2 linked regions of the Tamandua tetradactyla genome follow. The protein of the gene in region 1 interacts with the protein of each later gene in a pairwise test. Links are inferred from orthologs where the notes say so. Each region holds a gene or a part of one and is shown on either strand. Other genes may lie near its edges. The genes, in order: FST and TXN.

Region 1 (9,931 bases):
CTTGTACTAAATGTGATGAGAATATCCAAAGCAATCTTGAAAAAGAAAAAATGCTGGAGGAATTATACTACCTGATTCTATTTCTAGCTATAAAGCCACAGTAATCAAAATAGGGTACTGGCATAAGGATCAACAAATAAGTCAACGGAACAAAATAGAGAGCTCGGAAATCAAATGAGGACATTTGATTGTTTATAAGTGTGCAAAAGCAAAATGCAAAATGGATCTGGAATGAATTCCCTCTGTGGGAAGATGGCTAAAATACTACAGGACAATGCAATAGGATGTCTAAAGTCTTGTTAAAATGCCTTGCAACTTTGGACCTATCACAGACATTTCACTTCTTGGGCAAATTAGGTATTAGAGAAGAGATAATTCATATAAAAATAAAATTTAATTTTAAAATGCGAGTGATAAATTGTATCTATTGCTGATTGTAATATTGTACAGCTAAACACCTAAAAAAAGAATTCATTAAAAAGTAAGCAAATAACTGCTACCCTGTGGAAAGGGAAAATGAGGCTGCAGAACTCCAAATATACAAAAGAATCTGCAGCAAACTGACTGACCATCAGCCAGCCAATGAAACAGGAACAGTAGCGCTTACTCTGACCAACTCACCGCTTTAATCGTAGTGAACTAACAGAACAACAAACACCCTCCTTACACTTCCAAGCAGTAGAAAGTGTAAATGGCATCAGGGTTCAAACTGCTAAAGCTCACACACTGATATTTTCAGACATATCTAGATAAATAAATCATTTGTTTGGTCAAATGGACCTAAAATACAGTAAAATATTTAGAAGTTCCTATTAATTCAACATAAAATTCCTATTCTGAGGCAAATTTGAATTCTTTACTATTTTTTTTAATTACCTCATTATGAAAAACTTGAATATGATGATAGTGCTGCTTTAAGTGAGTACGTAGCACAGATAGATGACTCTAGAAATCCAAAATATATCTAAAATTGGAGATGGGAGTAAGGCAATTAAAATGTTACCCAGAAATAGGTAGTATGAAAAGAAAGGACTCTCTGATTGGATCTACATAATACCAAAGCAACATTGAAAAGACAAAAAGTCAATTAGTTCATTGTTTTTTCAGTACTGTACAGAAAACTTATATTTCAATAACTTTTGTGAAAAAGAAAACTGGTGGTTTGGACATCTGAATAAATATTGCTTTTATGTACTCAAATTTCTTAACTTTTTAGTTCTGCAACAATTCAGCCAACACAGAACTGTTATTCCCCACTCCACCTCAAATCCTCATCCTAGCACTACAAAATTGCACAATTTCAAAGACCATGACGCATTAAGTAGCTGTTTTTGTACCTAGAAGAACAAAATCTGATTTTAACATAATTGCAGCCTGTTTTCAAATGCTTAAATTCTGTTCCTTAATCAAGATTAGTTATTTGCATTGAAAACTGAATATTCATTTTGTAAAACACCTAACTTCAAAAAAGTTTGTCATTTAATTTAAAGCAAAAGATAAAAGTTGCTCAGTGCATCGCTTTCAAATTTTCCATACACAACTTCATCCCACTCCTTCCATATTCTCTTTTGAGGGACTGAATTTATCCAAATCATTTCTAGTCTCAAACAACAGATTCATATGATTTCAAGTAACTATCTCGGGAGCTAGATTGAATCATTTGCTAAACTCTAATATTTTAAATTTATAAACTTCAAAAGGAAGATATCTTTTGAAGCTGACAAAAGACAATCAGAGAACAGCAGTCTTTTTTGTGCGCTGCCCAGAAATACAGTTACAAAGTGGTCCCATTGTGTTTCTCATAATTTACATTTACTTTTTTGGCAAAGCAGAAAGAAAAATAAGAAGTCTAACTTGGAGACATACAACAAAAATGAAAGACGGCATTTTTATTTTAAAATGTCCTCCTGACATTCGAATATCTACAAACACAATATTTAACATTTACAGAAGATAAAACAGCAAAAGAAACAGCAGCTGTTTTTCTGTGAGGTCATTGAACAGGTGTGATACCATCTCGTAATGCTGAAATTGGATGGATCTCTTGCTGATGCCCACAGGAGACCCATATGGAACCAGTATTGACCTGTGTCTCATTTCCTTGGATATGGCCAGAAGGTAATCTGGGAGGACAAGAGTCCCAGTGAATGATCTGTGCAGATTTGGAGCAGACATTCTCCCAAACAGATCAATACTATCCAAGGTGCAACTGAAAAACAGGATGAGCTTGTATCATTAAACAAACACCAGGCTGCTTATTCACAAGGGCAAAAGCAACACAGCATTTGTATTTTGCACAGTGTGTTTGCCAGTGACCTCAACCCTGACCTCTATGGCTACCCTCTCTGGGGTGAGAAGTAAATCCCGTGTTAGGTCTGCCTCGGGTCTGCAAAACTCATACGAGCGGTGGCACTTTTTTACAATGAGGCCTACTGTGTCTGCTTGGGCCTAGCCAAGACAATTACATGATGCCAAAACAACTAGTCAAAGCAGTCGATTTAGTCAAATTACTGGTCAAACAAAGTATTTGGCATTATATAGACAAAAAAAAAAAAGAGAGAGAGAGAGACTGAATTTACACTTTTTACACAATCATACTGGAATTGCAGGGTCAGATTCTTGTGTTTAGAAAATTTGTATGATGCCAATTACTTCTATATACATAAGCTGATATTAATTGTCTGGATAAACCAAATATTATTTATTATTCAAAGATCCAGAAAAATACCTTTTTTATTAGCCAAAAAAAGTTTCTATTCTTTTTTCATTTAGCCCTGCATCCTCTCCCAAGATAATATTTTTTGCATATCTGTACACTCCTATTTATTTAAATATATCATATGTACATATGTAAATGAACAAGCTATAAATAAAATAAGGACATATATTTTATGTCACTTTTCATTGTTAGAGGGTTAGAAAATGTAAGAAAAGTATGGTTCTGCCTTCTTCAAAAGTAATATTCCCACTAGTATTAAGAAAATAAACTGTGGATTAAAATGTGACTACATTCCTCTAGGCAAGGTGATGTCATACAGGACAGAGCATTACTAAAATTTACACATTTTGGATAGCACAAGCATGAAAAGTCTAAGGAAACGATACTAACTACCAAGAGGGGACAGGAAGATTCAGGACTAGTAAATGTATTTAAACAGGGGCAAATATAAACTCATGTAAATTTGTTCTGGTATTAAGTTTTTTAATGGCCATTGGTAGCCCCTCCATAAGATTCCAACCTCTACCAGCTAAGGTTACTTATGTATTTAGGTTTACTTTCTAACTCTAGATGCACGGCTTGATATTCCTGGTTAAAACAGAAGATGCATTCCTTGCTGCTACTGAAAACTAATTTCTACAGGAAAAAAAAAAGTCAAGTAACAAAAAATGTTAGCTTTCCTCTTTCCCTCAACTAAGCTTTCCCCCCCCCAAAAAAAGCCTCGAAGAGGAGAAACTTCCTTCCCCCACCCCACCCCCAGCACATTACTGTATAAGAACTATATCCATCTCTCTGAATAAAGAAGAAAATTCAGCTTTGGAACTCTGCCATTGAGTGGCGGCTCCTGCAAAGGGGACAGTTTGCTATTAATTGTTAATGTCTGCCATTAGAGGGCACTAAACAACTCTACATTAAGGCTGCATTTGGAGGGAAGAGAGAAAGGGAGACGGGAAAAGAAAGAGGGGTGGGAGAAAGGGGAGGGGGTGAGAGTAGGGGCAGAGCCGGGAAAGAGGGAGGGAAAGAGAGAAGAGGGGAAGGGGCGGGCGGACGGGAGGGAAAGAGGGAGAAGACGAGAGAGAGAATGAATCTGGAAAGATTAAGAAGGATGTGGAGCCCCCAGAGCCGTCTGAAGTGGGCAAAAGGCCAGCCTCCCCCAGGCCGCCCAAGCCCCTCCCCTGCCGTCCTCACGACGGTAATTATAAAGCGAAAAGCAGCGACGAGGTCACCCGTTTTTACCAGCCTGCTGCACCGAATGCGCGCGGTGCAGGTGCGGCGGCCGCTGGGCTTTGTGATTCATGCCCACTTTCAAAGCGGGGCTTGGGCCCGTCTGAGAGGCACCCAAACAACTGTCTTCTAATATTAGCACGGCTGTATTTCGGGATCTATTATAGTCTGTCCAGACAGATCCCATTGTAATGGGATCTTTTATTAAAAGATTAGCACTATCTCCTGCAGTTGGTGGAAAAAAATCTGTTATCACTGAGTTATTTGCAGTTGTGGAGGGGGTGAGAGGGGGGTTAATGTAGACGGGGGGTGGGAGGGCGAGAGGAGGACTGTGGTGGCGCGGGGGGGGCGCTGGCGAGGGGGTGTTGTTGAGGTGGGCGAAGAGGGGCGGATTTGAAATTCGTAGAGCAAATCCCAGTGACCTGCGAATGTCCAAGAATTTTGTCTGCATACTTCGCTGTCTGTTGTCCTTAGGGTTTCAGAAGCGAAAAGAATAGCAATTTAAAAGGCAGATTTGGAATAAACAATATAGCATTTTCCGTGAAGTAATCGTTTTATATAAAAGGAAATATCGCCTCCTCAGTTTCATTCAGCGGTGCCAAAAATGTTATAAATGAGAAACCCGCCAACTTTCAGCAAAGAATGCCAGGCACTGTGCTTAACAAACTGAGGCTACAGAAGTTCATTATCGATGTTGCAATCTTTTTTATTCCACGAACCGAGAGAGCGAGCGAGAGAGAGAGAGCGAGAGCGGGAGAGCCAAGAGCCGAGAAAGAGACTGGGAGAGACAGACAGAGACGCAGGACAGAAACTGGGGAGTCTCTGAGCTGGGGAGGAGGGGCAGACCGCCTACGTCGGCGCCCCCGCTCGGGGCTCCAATTCCAGACGCCGTGAAGTGAAAGGGGAGAAAAGAAAGGGAGAGGGCGCGACTGTGACGGGCTGGGGGTGGGGGGCCGGGCCTGAGGTGTTAAACATTTTTGTTTGCTTCTGACTCGTCGAGACGAAGGGCCGTGTCAGTGGACCGCTTAGCCAGGGTGGAAGGTGCCGGGGCCGGGGTTCTTAGCAACAACTCTGGGCCGGGGCTGGCCGCAAAGTAAGGCACGCACAGACCCAGACACAAAACCTCACCGGGTCCCGCGCCTAAGGCTGCGGGGGCCTAACCCAGCAGCGCGCCCCGCCGGAGGCGCGAGGCCGGCGCGTTCCGTCCCGACCCCGAGCGGGCTATTTTAGCAGCTTGGGTCTCTCTGGGCGTTTGCAAAGTCTTCCTGGGGCGGAGGAACCGTCGTGAGGAGACCAACTCCCGGGTTCCCCCCGCTCCGCCCGTAGCTTCTTCCTCCAGCGCCCCCACCGCGCCCTCACTCACACACACGCACACGCACGCACACACACACACACACACACACTCGCCACCCTGGGCGCGCCGGCGTTGCCTGCGAGCGGCAGCGTGCAAGACTTGAAGTGTGTGTTCTTCCCCACTCCCCACCCCCGAAGCATAGCCCCCCCACCCCCACCCCCGCCCCGGCGCCTTCCCCCTCCCTCTCGCTCCTACGCAAATAAGAACTCAGCGATTCCCCTCCTGCCGCTTTGATTTCGGGCACCTCCAACAGATAATTGGGAAGGGTTTCCAGAAGGTGGGAAATGTCACCTGATTCACACTGAACTTTTAAAAGCTCCCCACCCCCAAGGAGCCGCGCACACCCTCGCTCGCGGCCGCCCTCCCACAGCCCCACACACTGGGAGACCGCCCACCGCAAACCGCGGAGACCCCCGTCTAGATTTAAAGCGCGGCTGCGCCCGGCTTCTGACGTCCATTGAATCGCGCGGGCGGCCGGCGGCGAGCGCGGGGCTGCGCCGGGATCGCTGCGCCCTCCGCCGCTCGCCTCTGCGACGCGCGCCGCTTGTCCGAGCCACCCGCCGCTGCGCCCGCTCCTCGCGCCGCCGCGCTCCTCGCCCGGCGCCTGCCCCACGATGGTCCGTCCGAGGCACCAACCCGGCGGGCTCTGCCTCCTGCTGCTGCTGCTCTGCCAGTTCATGGAGGACCGTAGCGCCCAGGGTAAGCGAGGGGGATGCGCGCTTGGGGAGGCTCGGCTGAGGGCATGAGTTTGTACTTTTCTGTCGTCTCCACTTGGTCTGTTCTCAGCAACGCTGCTCACTGAAGATGTTGGACCGACTTAAAGACTCCGGGATGGAGAGAGTGGGAAAACTGAAGGCAGTGACACTTTAGGTCTGGAAGAGGAGTTGGGAGTTCGGTTATCCTTAAAAAGGAAAGGGAGTGAGCGGGAGTCTCAGTAGTTAGGGTTAGATGCTCCAAGTTTTAGATGTTATCTCCCCTTATGGCCCTCAAGAAAGGGACAAGCATCAGTAGCCTGAAGATTTTGGTCGACCCATTCGCAGTCTAACAATTCTCCCTCCCACATCTTTCGGATACTTCAAAAAAATTACTAGGGGAAAGAAGGATACTGAGTTTTCCTTCGGTGGTTGGGGGACGTGGTTTCAGAAACTTTTCCCAAACTTGGAAATGTGGGTGCTGAACGGGAAGTAGCTTTCTGCCTAGTGGATGCTTCTTCCAACCCTCTCCCACCCACCACCCACCACCCATCACCCACCACCCACCTTGCTAAATAAATAAATAACCCAAACTATTAACCCGGAGTGTTTTAGGAGTAGCTTCCTTCCCCACCCCCCCACCTTTGCCTCCTTCCTCTGACTGTTAACTTTCTGTAGAACATTGAGGAGCCCACAACCGATTTAAATTCTGAGGTGGATCAAGAGCAAGTTTCTAAAGTTTGACTTTTGCAATTAGGTCTGTTATTTCAATGAGTCTTTGGGCAGATTTTTTTCAAAAAATAAAAATAATAGCTTGCGGGTCCGATGATTGAACGAGTCATATTGGTGAGAGGTTTTCCTGATCAAAATCCGAATATTAGAAAGGGGAGGTGGGAGGGTAGAAATTGCAAAGATTTCTTGGTAGGTATGAGACAGGCACATGTAACTGTGAAATGCTCGGAAGCTTCTCCCACCCCCTTCTCTTTTCTCCCCTCTACACTTTTTCTGAGACAGAACGTGTAACTTTCCCTGGTTTGCCGTTAATATTTTACATGTGTTGTAAACTGCCCTCCTGGGCACTGCCCCTAGCCGTCTGCATGGCTCCACGCTCAGTTGCCCGCCTTTCGGGGCAAGGCACTGCCCGGATGCAGAGACTTGGGCGCCGGGGGAAGGCAGCCCTCGGAGATTTCGAAAGATCGCGGTGGCCCTGGGCGTCCTCTGGGTCTGGCGATTGCAAAACGGCCCGTCGGGCAGGCTGCGCCTCGGGGCCGTGCGGGGCAGCTCCCAGCCAGGCCCGGTTGCTTTTTTTTTTTTTTTTTTTTTTTTGCTTTCATTTCTTACGTGTTCCTTTTGCTTATCTGCTCCTGCGCGTGTCGGTGTCTGCCTCTCTCAAGTTCTCTTACTTTCCTAACCTCTGTCACAAATAATACCCGTACCGCCCACATGAAACCAACATGTAAAAACATCCGTCGCATCCTGTTTTTGTCAGGTTCTTTAATCTGCTCTTCGAGTCGCTGCAGGTTATGAAATGGGACGAATAAAAGTAAACAGTCTAGTAAAAGTCAATGCAAGCTGCACGTGTTGTGTCTGGGTCACTGGTAACTGACATTGATATGGCTGGGGCGCTCTGGCTGCTCGCCCTCGCCCTCCCTCCCCCTCGCCCACCTCCCACTTCTCAGATCTGGGCCTTTTTCCCTCGCTTTTCCCATTTCCTACCCCCTTCGATTTATTTTCTGCTTTTCTCCCTGGTCTCTTCCTCTCTTCCCTTCCTCCACGCTTACTCCCTCCCCATTGCCACCGGTGCTCCTTCCGTCGCACGCTCGCCGCCTCCTTCCCCCTACCCCGCCGCACACTCACCCACCTCCCCACCCCTGTCTTTTCGCAGCTGGGAATTGCTGGCTCCGCCAGGCGAAAAACGGCCGCTGCCAGGTCCTGTACAAGACGGAGCTGAGCAAGGAGGAGTGCTGCAACACCGGCCGCCTGAGCACCTCGTGGACTGAGGAGGATGTGAATGACAACACACTCTTCAAGTGGATGATTTTCAATGGGGGCGCCCCCAACTGCATCCCCTGTAAAGGTAGGACTTTTTCTCTCCAGCTTGCAGGCCCTCAGTAGAGGGCGTCTTACCCTCAGCTTCCCTGCTGCCCGGCTGGGGTTTGAGACCAGAAGAGCTTTGTTGGTGGGCCCCCTTTCTGTCCCCCAGCGCTGCTAATCCGTTTGGGTCGCACCCAGTCTGTTAGACACTATATGCAAAACAGGATAGGCAGAGATGTCCTAACTTCTTAGCCAAGTGTGCTGCTGAAGCCAGCCTGCCCGCCCTCTTTGAGAGAGATTTGAGCATCCAGGGCGAAGCGCACAGTCCATTCCTTCACCCTCTCCAGGGTTTCTAGGAGAAAACCTGCCCCATTCCGCAACCCCCACCCCAGAGCATGAACTCTGCACCTTTCCACGAGGCACCCGCAGCCCTCCTGGCTGACCTGCAGCCTGCCCCGCCGTGGTTCTCACTCGTGCCTCTTTCCAACTCACAGAAACGTGTGAGAACGTAGACTGTGGACCCGGGAAAAAGTGCCGAATGAACAAGAAGAACAAACCCCGTTGCGTCTGTGCCCCGGATTGTTCCAACATCACCTGGAAGGGCCCCGTCTGCGGGCTGGACGGGAAAACCTACCGTAACGAATGTGCACTCCTCAAGGCCAGATGTAAAGAGCAGCCGGAACTGGAAGTCCAGTATCAGGGCAAATGTAAAAGTAGGTTCTACCCTTCTTGAGCAAAAACACTACCCCCACCCCATACACACGCACCCAGAAGGACCAACTCTGGCTCCAGCTTTCACCCTCAAGGATGGCATAGTCCTCGCTAAGAGCCTTATAATAATAATGATGATGATAGTAATAATAATAGTGATAGTCAATAGAGGAACCGCTTTCTAATTTCTAAAGACTCATTAAGAAGGAAAAGACCAGCCTAGAGTCCTAGATATTCTCTTAAGCCACGGGACTCGCAGAGTGCCTTTTGATAGTTGATGCTTTAGTTTCATGATTTCCTTGATAATATGCCCATTAATGTGTATTACCTCTTTGTTTCAGAGACCTGTCGGGATGTTTTCTGTCCGGGCAGCTCCACATGTGTGGTAGATCAGACCAATAATGCCTACTGTGTGACATGTAATCGGATTTGCCCAGAGCCTACCTCCTCTGAGCAGTATCTCTGTGGGAACGATGGAGTGACCTACTCTAGCGCCTGCCACCTGCGAAAGGCTACCTGCCTGCTGGGCAGATCGATTGGATTAGCCTACGAGGGAAAGTGTATCAGTAGGTATTCAGGATTGAAGGAAGAAAAGAGAAAACAAAGGATTAAGAGGGCTACTTCTAGTATTATAACTGTGGCATTAACCAATAAATAAAGCCCAAAGCCTTCTTAAATGTGTAGTTTCACCAGAAGGAAAGATAACTCTCCAGTTTGGGTAAACTCTCTTGGCTACAGCATTCTTCATGGAAATCACTGTCTTGTGGAAGCACTGGCATATATATTCAAATGCTACAAGAAGCAGCAAATAATTTACCATCGTGGCAAATTTATAACTCAATTTTACAAGTTTTTTTTCAAGTGCTAGACTTGTTAGAAGAGAGAAATAATTACTTAACAGTTCCTAAAATCTGTTATCAGATTCCAATAGCTGGTGGAATTCTTTTCTTTTTTAAAAGATCCTACTTGTGGGGAAATAATCAGATACTTATTTAATTCAAGGGAAGTGTGAAATGCTGTTCCCAAAATTGCTATTTTCATACACAAATGTAGTATGTAAGAAGCTGTGGGGGTGTGTGGGTGTTTCAGCTTTATAACTGAGCATTTTTGCCTAATATCTCCATTATCCCCATTCTTGAGAAATAAGTTATAAACTGTGTTTATATTTATTGATAGAGGACTGGAGAAAGGGAAAAT
Region 2 (9,463 bases), on another chromosome or scaffold:
GCATTATCTTCTCTTTGCGCTTCCTTTAAGCGAACCTTCACTGCCAACTAATAAGGGGGCCTCTGAAACGACATTACTTGGGAGTCTGGAGAAGCCCAGGCCCCGGGCGGGGTGCGCCGCGTGGCCCTGCGCGCCCTGGAAGCTGCGCGCCCCTCGGGCTGCAGCCCCGACGGCCGCCCCGCGCCGCCTCGCTGCTCCTCCGCCTCCAGCCCTGCGGGGGCCGCGCGGCGAGGACCCCCTCACCACCACTGTGTCCCACTCCACGGTCGTAAAAGACGGTGCGTCAGTCGCCTTCTGAGCTCCACCATCACAAAACTCGTCCTGCGGGAACCCTGCCTAGCGCGACCCACGCCGCCGACCCCGAGCCGCCATTTCCCACAGCCGCCGCCTCACCAGTAGGAAGTCTTAAGAGCAAAGAACGGAGGGTTTCAAAAAAAGAAAAAAAAAAAATTCTACCTCAAGACTACACCATCTTCTCCTCTCAGGTTCCAGCCTACAAATTTCAGACTTGCCAACCCCCACAGTCCTGTGAGCCGGTTCCTTAAAATAAATCTGCACTAAAATAGCCACGTACATCCTGCTGGTTCTGTTTCTCTGGAGAACCCTGATACGAGGGGTGATGAAATTACAATTATAGATTATTCACAAGTAGGTGAGAGCTATGGGCCCATCCCACAAAATCTCCCCGCCAACGGGTAAGTTCAGTGACAGCCGCACACACAGACATTTATTAACAGGTAGGCCCCCAAACGGTCTTCCAAGCTGGGGCGATCCCAAAATTCAATTTTTAAGGCACTCTGACAAGTATTCCTTTGAGGGAGCTTCCAGGACTGACTGACCTTCCAGCATTGTCCAAAAGAAATACACTTTTAAATTTTGTACTAGCCATTTAAAAAGATAACAAAAAAAAAATGTGAAATTCATTTAAATAATAGATTTTATTTAACCTAACCTTTCCAAAGTATTATCATTTCAACATACAATTGATATAAAAACGTCAGTGAGATACTTCACATTGCTTGCTTTCCTCCGAAACCTTCAAAACCTGGTGTGTATTACAGACTTTGCAGTAGGTCGCAATTTGGATGCTAAATTTTCATTGGAAATACATGATCTGTGCTTAGATTCCATAAAGTTTATAGTTAAAAAGAGATTCACATATCAGCGTTGTTTCAAACATACTTCAAAGTTTTGCAGTAACTGAATCTAGCATAGGTTTTTTTCAGTTAAAATTAATAAACATTGAATAAAATTTAAAATCCAGTTTCTCTGTCACACTAGCCATGTTTCAAGTGTTTCACAGGCACTTGTGGCTAGTGGTCACCACACTGGTCAGCGGTGCTCCCATGGGATCACATGACACACTGTTTGGTTAAGAGGTGAGACACAGGACTTTCCAATGGAGTTTAGTTCCCTGTTGGGTCATCAGATTCCTCTGTATTCCAACATCCTACAGAATTTCGTCAAGTTAATCCTCACTGCATCCCCCGCCTTAGCTCCTTCCACTCAGCCAATGCCAAATTTCTTACAACAGCCACATAAAATGGTGTAAGCAGTTAGGGAATTATATTATCTCACATTACAGTAAGTCTTCAGTTAGAGAGGCTCCAAGATTCGGTATTTCACTGAAACATCGTCGTGGACTCAGGTTCCTTCCATCTCACCACCGTGCTGTGTTTGTCCTAGTTTACCTCATGGTTACAAACAGGCTGTCCAGTCCCAGGCATCACAACCAGACATGACCTTTTCCAGCAGAAGGAGGAGGCTTCCTTTCATGTGTATTTTTGTAAGTGAGGAGACCTTTCCCAGAAGTCTAGCCACCTTCTCAAGTCTTATTATTGGCAAGGATCGAGTCACCTGATTTTCCTAAATCATGCCTGGCAGGGGAAATGGGATGATGATCGGTTTAGATTAATTGGATTTTAGCCCTGAGTTGCTGTTGAAACTAGAACCAAATCCAAGCACTGGCAGCAAAGGAATACAGGGGAATGGCAGTAGGGAAGCTAATCAAAACTGCCTTCTCCTTGAGGTCTAGGAGCAAAGAGACTACAAACTAGTCAAATATCCCTATAGTTAGAGTTTATAAATTAGCATAAGAGACGCTAGATAGTTTTCAGTGGTGCAATGAGTATTCATGATATGTGTATGGGCTCAAAAACTGTGTTGGCACTTTCCCTCCTCTTCTTCATGAATGAGGTATAAGAATGGGGCGAGTCTTTTGGTGTGTCCACGTGGCCTCTTTGAACCTGTTTCCTCTTCTCTCATCTAGGGAAAGAATACTTATTTCCTAAGAAATGATGGGACACACCCAACACTGGGCATGGCAGGCACCTAATATTGTCCTTAAGTGTTCTCTTATTTTCCTCCTACCTTCTTTAACATAGTACCTTGAGCTCCCTGTTTTTTTGTCACTTACCATATTTCCTTTTACCCTTCTTTCAACTCCCTTGCCAGACACATTCTTCAAACTTATTTAATGCTGGCCTCTCTCTGGAAAAGCCCAGAGCAGAGTTAATCAAATCTTGGTGTGAGTAATTACTTGGAATAGAATGCTTTTTAAAATGCAGATTCCAGAGCTTTAGCCCAAAAGACTGTGGTTCCATAGGTCTGTCTGTATGTGGTCGAGGAATCTGCAGTATTACTATACCAAATTAGGCGTTCAAAACCACACTTTGAGAAATCTATAAAATAAAAGCTTGCTTCAGAGACCTTTGTGCTGCATTTCCCCCCAAATCCAAGTTGGGACCCTAAGAAAGACAGCACCTAGTTCTCCAGTCCCACATGGAGACTCAGACTGAGCTGACCCAGAAATCTGAAGCAAGCTGATTCCTCCATATTACTGGTTTCTGCACTTCTTGATGACATGGAAATATTGGTTTTGCCTGCCCATGATCCATTTGTGGCTTTTCTGGTAACCCCTGGATTTTCCACACTCTTTGTCAAGGTGGTTCAAGGAAGTCTGATACTCCTTTTCCCCGCCCTGCTCCCCTACCTCTCAACTCCAGGTTCAAGCCCAAAGAAAGTCAGCTTCCAGGATGTTTACAAGAACAAGGGATAGAGATGCTCTGCCTGCAGGGATGCTAAACTAGTAGGTACCTAAGCCTGGAGCTGCTGGTGGTCCATCTTCAACAAGGTGGGGAGAAACTGCCTGAGAATAACACCTTTAAACCCCTGGAGTTACTGGAAATATGAGTTAGTAATTGTCTTTTCAGTTTAAATCAATTTGAGCTGTACTTTTTCCTTGCAGCTGAGAGTTCTAATACACAGAGCCAATCCCCCAAATGAATGCATTTATGTCACCGTTTGAACGAGGTACTAAGTGCTATACAAACTGTGAGTGGAATTGAATGAAAGGGTGAAATCCCTTTGGAATGAGGGAAAAGCTAGGATGGAAAAGCATATGGTAAACCAGCCAGAGACTTAGGTAAGTCACAAAATCAGTAATAAGCAGTCAGCTCTATTATATGAGTCTTAAAGAAAAAGGCCTTTTTTTCCCCCAGAGGATGGGGGAAAAGTGGGATGGCCTTGGCCCTAAGAAGCAAAGTTCCTGCCTACAGTAATGTGGGAAACTGAGTTTCATTTGGTTCCATTCACAGTTCGTATAGCACTTAGTTTGTGCCAGGCACAGTTCTCAGCACTTTACATCTGTTGTACCTCATTCAACTCTTACAAGAGCACAAGGCATTATTACCCCCATTTTACAGATAAGGAAATTGAGGCACAGAAAGTCTTCCTAGACTTGCCTAGAGTTACCCTGTTACAGAGTGTGGACAAGAACCAGGCAGTCTAAATGCAGAGTTGGTGATTGTTACATACACATTAGCTTCCTGATTCCTGGTTTTCTAAAAATGTAACATTCTCCACATCCATCTATATTGATCCTGGGGAAGTTGGGAGTGGGTTGGTCCCTCCTGTGACTGAGTCATTGGACGTTTGGAAGTTCCTTGAAGAGGAGAGGGAAATGTCAGCAGAGAGCAGCCTGGGCACCCACTGAAAATGTGCGCCTTCCCTCCCTATAGCTTAATTATCTGTGTTGTCTGCCATGTAAACGCACCAACTATTAGGTCCAGAACCAGGGGTGTAGGCTGGGCTTGAGACACAGCAGCAAATAAGCAAGTTAAATATTATTCCAGTAACACATAACACACACACACACACACACACACACACACACAACCAACCCCACTTTGCCCCAATGCTCCTTACTCTGGGAAGGCTGCTACATTCAGGGCAGTCCATCTCCCTTCTTAAATTGACCTCTTGTCTATATCCTTACCCATGGCTTGGTGCTCTTCAATCCCCTGGAAACTTTGCACAATAGGTTCAAAACCCCAGGTTCTTCCTTCCTCTGTCTGAAAGAGTTTAGAGAGGGAAGCCAGGGGAGGGTGGTAGGGTGGAGGGTGAGCCAGGGAGCTGTTTCACACCGAGATCCAGCTTCACCCAGAGCTGATGGACTCTGAAAATGCAGGCTGGGAGAGCTCTCCCTCCTCCCCCGACTCAGCCTTCAGCTTCTCAGCTTCTCCAGCGCCCCTCTCCTTCTAGCTCCTGACAGGCCCTCCTGGCTTCACAATTCCACCTAACATATTCACCTTTCACACTTTCCTGTCCTGACAGAGCCGACATGCCAAGTATGTGCAATGCATCCCTGTGTCAACTCAAATATCTAACTCCTCCGTTCCAGGCTTCTCACCACCGGTAGAAAAAATACACAAATGCGTACAATGGTGCCAGTACAAATTTGCAAATTGTAACGTCACCAAGCTCAACCAGACCTTCCATAACACTAAGCAAGCCTAATTAGTATTCACAAGAAATAGCTATTATTAGTATTTATTGAGCCCTTACTCTCTTGCCAAGCTCTGCTGATCATCTTATAAGCACCCTAAAAAACTCCTTACAACACCACCACCACCACGGCATAGAGACTAGCTGGATTCCCAATCCACAGACAGGAAAGCTGAGCCACCGGGGTCCCACAGCCTAACTTAACTGCAGAGTTCACCACGGCCACGCTCCCGCCCTGCCAGTCCCTCAGCCACCTCCAACGCCCAAACTGCGTCACGCCCCAGCAGCGGGCTCCTCGGAGAGTGAAAGAACAGGAAGGAGGGAAAAGAGCAACTGAGAACTGTCGCCGTAAATTCCGGAAGGGAGGCAGGGGCCCACACTCCGCGGTTTCGTCCTGGTCATCGTTACTCAGCACTTTGTGGGGTTCGCGGGCGTGGCGGGCCTTTCTGAGAAATCAGCCATGCGGGGAGGACACGGTACTGTCCCCTTGTCGAGCCGGGGGGCGTTAGCGCAAGGCCTCGTAGACCCCTTCGCGGGTGACCCAAGAGGGACATCATGGCCCTGGGAGTGGCCGGCCGCCTCCCCACGCTGTGGAGCAGAGACCACGCCCTTTAGGTTGCCCGACGACCCCCAGCCAGCGAGGCGACAGGGCGGGTATTCGGGAGCAAGGGAAAGGGGAGACCCTGGTGCCCAGCTGGGCCCCGCCTCGGCCCCGCCTCGGCCTCGCCCGGGCCTCCTCCCGGACGCCGCGCTCGCCAGTCCCGAGAGGCAGAGCCTTGCGCCGACAGAGACTGGGCGGGCGCGTCCCCGTCCCACGCACGCCGGGCGCGCCCCCGCCCGCCCCGCCCCCCCCCACCGCGCTATAAAGGTAGGACAGGCGGCGCGCTCTATTCCCAGCCTTGGTCCCGCTCTTTGGGTTTTCGTTGGCGTATGCTATAGTCGGTCACCAGACGCTCAGCAGCCAACATGGTGCGGCAGATCGGCAGCCAGGTACGGCCTCCCGGGCAAGGGCAAGGCGCGCTGCGAAGCCTCGGCAGCCGGGGAAGGCGATGGGAGGGAGCTGGGGATCCCGGCCCTCCTCATCCCTGGGGAAGGGGGAGGCGGCGGCTCGGCCTGTGGCTCCGAGAAGCCGGGCCTGGGCGCGCGGGGGACGGAAGAGTGTGCTCGGGGGCGGTGGGGGGTAGCGACCAGGGGGCCATGCTCGGGGGCGGTGGGGGTAACGACCAGGGGGCCGGGCTGCCCAGTGCGCCCGGGGGCCCCCCTGTACTGCGCCTCCAGCAGTCCCCATCTGGGAGACTAAACGGGGAAAGGTGAGGACACAGAGCGGGTCAGGCCTTGTCCCCATGTGTATCCGAATTCGAACCCTGGCCAGGAGAGGGAAGGCCCCGTGCAGAAGGCCCGGGGTGGGTGGCCCCTCCCCGCTCCCCCAACCTCCGGCTGCCTCCATCACTGTCGGATCCCAAAGATGACGAGGCTTTGCCCGCGCCTAGAGGACGGGTCCGGCTGGGGACATCCCTGGGTACGTGGACCTGGCCGGGAGTCCCCCGAGCCCTTTCCGAGGTCCCCAGGGCAGAGGTGGCGCGAGAGGCCCCAGGTGGCGGCGGGGAAGTGAGGTCCGGGCCGCGCCCACCCGACTCCTCCCTCGGCGCGGGGCGGGTTTCCGGCAGCGCTGGCTTCGGCGTGACTCAGTCCGCGAGGCCCGGGCCCGGCGGTCGGTGCTTAAACCAGCCATTGGGTTCGCCCTGGGACCCGACGCCTTCGGGTACCAGGCAGTGGGTCATCCTTTCAAAAGAGCCCAAAGGCAAAAATTATTCCCGTATTGGATTTATTGCACGCCTAATACCCTCCTGATTGAAAAGCTCAGGGCCTGGGTAGCCACTCAGATATTTGTTAAATACAGTCTGGAGAGTGAAAGAAAGAAAACTGCCTGAACGCGCGAGAAAAGCAGAAGGGGGGGCCTCTAGTGCCTGTTTCGTGGTGAGGTGGGCTTTGGAAACGAAAGTGTCTCTGTAATGGTATTTTTTCTTTTTCCTTTTATGATCAGGAACCAAATGTGATCGTTGTAGGAAATTTGGGAGGGGCCCAAAGTAATTGAGATTATTTTACATATACTTGTTTTGTTTAGGGCTTTCTCTACCCGCCCCGTCCTGCCCCGTCCCCCCATTTAGCCTGAACACTTTTCTTGTAATTAAAAGTTCTTGGTAATCATTTCAGTGTCTGAACACATTACTGAACATCTGGGCAGTTTTCAACGTTTCAGTGAAAACTTTTTTTTTCCCATAAAGCTTTGTACAGTGTTCAGCAGGTTTTTTATTTTCTTAAAACGTTAAAATCTCAAGTGCAATCGTTTGGTCAAGGGGCATGAATGTAAGTGGTGCCAGTATTATGACAGTGCTCCTTTCATTCCCACCTCATCAGTGCTGACTTTTTCAAACCTATTAATTTTGTCCAAATCCATGGTAAAGACAAACAGTCTCAATCTCATTTTATCTTTGATTAGTAGTAACTGGACTTCTAAAATTGTACGAGTTTTTATATTAAAACTAGTAACCCACTGAATTGGTCGAAAAACGAGATTCTTCCTAGTTTCGTTCGACACTTAGTGCATGCCAGTCTCTTCTCTCCAGGGCCTGCAACCCCATGGTAGAATTTAGCAGGTGAAAACCCATTAAACAAGCAGGCCAGAGAGAGACCTCGAGCAGAGTACGCACTAGAAACAAAACTGATTTTGATTTCTGGAGCAGCCATTTTTCAGTCTTAGACTCTTCTAGCTGCCCTGATTGTGATGTCCTTCTCCCTACAGTGAGAGAGTGGACAGGGTGAAAGGAAGGTGGTTACTTGAAGCCTGACAACCAGGGCTCCAGACACTCAGTGTCAGTTGACATTCAGAATTATGGCCCAGAGTCATTGATCAAATGAGTTGCACTGTAATTTGATTTGTAAATATTGAATACATCTTAGATTGCCTATTTCTGTGGTACTTTTGGTAGTTCAGGGCCACTAGGGATGGGATACTGAACTAACTAGAAGTGGGGGGGGGGGGTGGAGTCAGTACAAAGGTATTTTTAGGAAGAAAGGATAGTAGTTACTATTAATTGAACTTCCTCTATCTTACATGCACCAGGCTCCTTGCTAAAATGCTTTACAGACAAGTGTTGCTCTTTGAGCTCACTACCTTTGGACAGTTATGTTGGGGAAAAGAGATGCCAGACTTTACTGCTATTTATTTGTTAATGCCAACTATGTTGTTTTTGTCCTCAAATTATTTGTGTCAGTGATGAGGCCATTTATTGAATCCTTATTGCTAGTTTCTGGGTGCTAGAAATTGTGGTATACTTCATAAAGTAATCTAGAATAATTTTCAGAGTGATGTTTGTTTTAGGTAAAACATTGGGAGAAGAGAATTTGTATGCATACCTGACTCTGTAATTCATGTGTAGCTGTGCCAAGACGTATTGTTTTTGGAATTTTAAGAGGTTTTCCTTGAATTTGATTCAGAATGTTTTGGGAGAAAATATATGAGTGTTTGGACCACATTCTAGCTCTTGGAAATAATCTCATAAGGTGATTTGTTAAGGACCAGTCATGTTCAAAAAGACATATGTTTGTCTGACCAGATTGTCTCCCCTGGATCCTGCCTTAAGAATTGGTAGTTTGTTCTTCTAAAAGTCACATGAGGGAAGGCTTTGAATGAAATACATCTTTCCAAATCAGTGGTGATTTTGAAAACATTTCTGTACTTCTTACTCCCTCCACCCCACACCCGAAGATGCGAGTTAGAGGAGGAATCGGACCTGCATAACTGCCAAGCTTACAGAAGTCATGGCGTTCCAGTCTCAGGAAGGAACATTTGTTGTGAATTGTTTCCCCAAAAACATGAGGTAGAAACTAGGAATCTAGAGGAGTCACCATATTGCATGGGAGTCATTCACACTATTTTTCCACTTCGTATTGTACTAATTGACTTCTTCATGGGCCCAGATATGATGTGATTCTTAGTGGAGAGGCAGCAGGGTGGAGGGATAGTGCTAGTTTTTAATTCACTGTGATCAGCAGTGAAGCCTTGACTTTGGATATAGATATTTATGTTTTGATTTTTCCTCATTGCCTGTTTCTTAGTCAACACTAACGACTTGTGGTTAAAATGAGGTTAGGTTCCTAGGGTTACGGCAGCCAGACCATTGGTAAATAATTCACCGCAGTTGGTGGGGAGGGATTTCTTGATCATTTCTGCTGGTGGAATTTATTTATCATGCATTCCTTGTGCAAAATAATATTCCTTCATGGGAGCTAAAACCATTGTTCATTTAATCAACCATGAGTACAGAGTTTTGAGATAAAGGACAGAAATCAAAGACTGATAAACGATATAAACTGTCTAGATACCGATAGGAAAAAAAAAGAGTACAAGGAACTGTACTGTCAGGAGTTGCCTGAGTGTGTTGGGATTTGGAGGAGGTTATTATCCTTGACTTTTGAGCTTTTCACATTTTCTACCATAGATGATACTAGTTTAATCAGAAGCATTAGCTTTTTTTTTTTTAAGGTAACTTTTTGATGTTTCATCTGTAAAATTCCATGCCTTTGTGACTTTAATTGAAGTGACCCCTTTGATGATCCATCAGTAGCATTTAGTAAATGTTTACAGTATGCCTAGACTTATGTGGAAACATTTTAA

The links.
Region 2: the proteins of FST (region 1) and TXN interact in binary tests that used the Homo sapiens proteins (3 or more experiments, as listed by UniProt). The link is inferred for Tamandua tetradactyla from reciprocal best matches to the Homo sapiens genes FST and TXN.

Annotation. Positions count from the first base shown.
Region 1 is NC_135335.1:99,584,504-99,594,434, forward strand, and holds the start of FST (follistatin), read left to right. Parts: upstream 1-5,894; 5' UTR 5,895-5,911; coding exon 5,912-5,996; intron 5,997-7,874; coding exon 7,875-8,066; intron 8,067-8,517; coding exon 8,518-8,736; intron 8,737-9,075; coding exon 9,076-9,300; intron 9,301-9,931. UniProt on the Homo sapiens protein: Multifunctional regulatory protein whose primary function is to antagonize members of the transforming growth factor beta (TGF-beta) superfamily including activin, myostatin, GDF11 or bone morphogenetic proteins (BMPs).
Region 2 is NC_135328.1:29,238,918-29,248,380, reverse strand, and holds the start of TXN (thioredoxin), read left to right. Parts: upstream 1-5,629; 5' UTR 5,630-5,751; coding exon 5,752-5,775; intron 5,776-9,463. UniProt on the Homo sapiens protein: Participates in various redox reactions through the reversible oxidation of its active center dithiol to a disulfide and catalyzes dithiol-disulfide exchange reactions.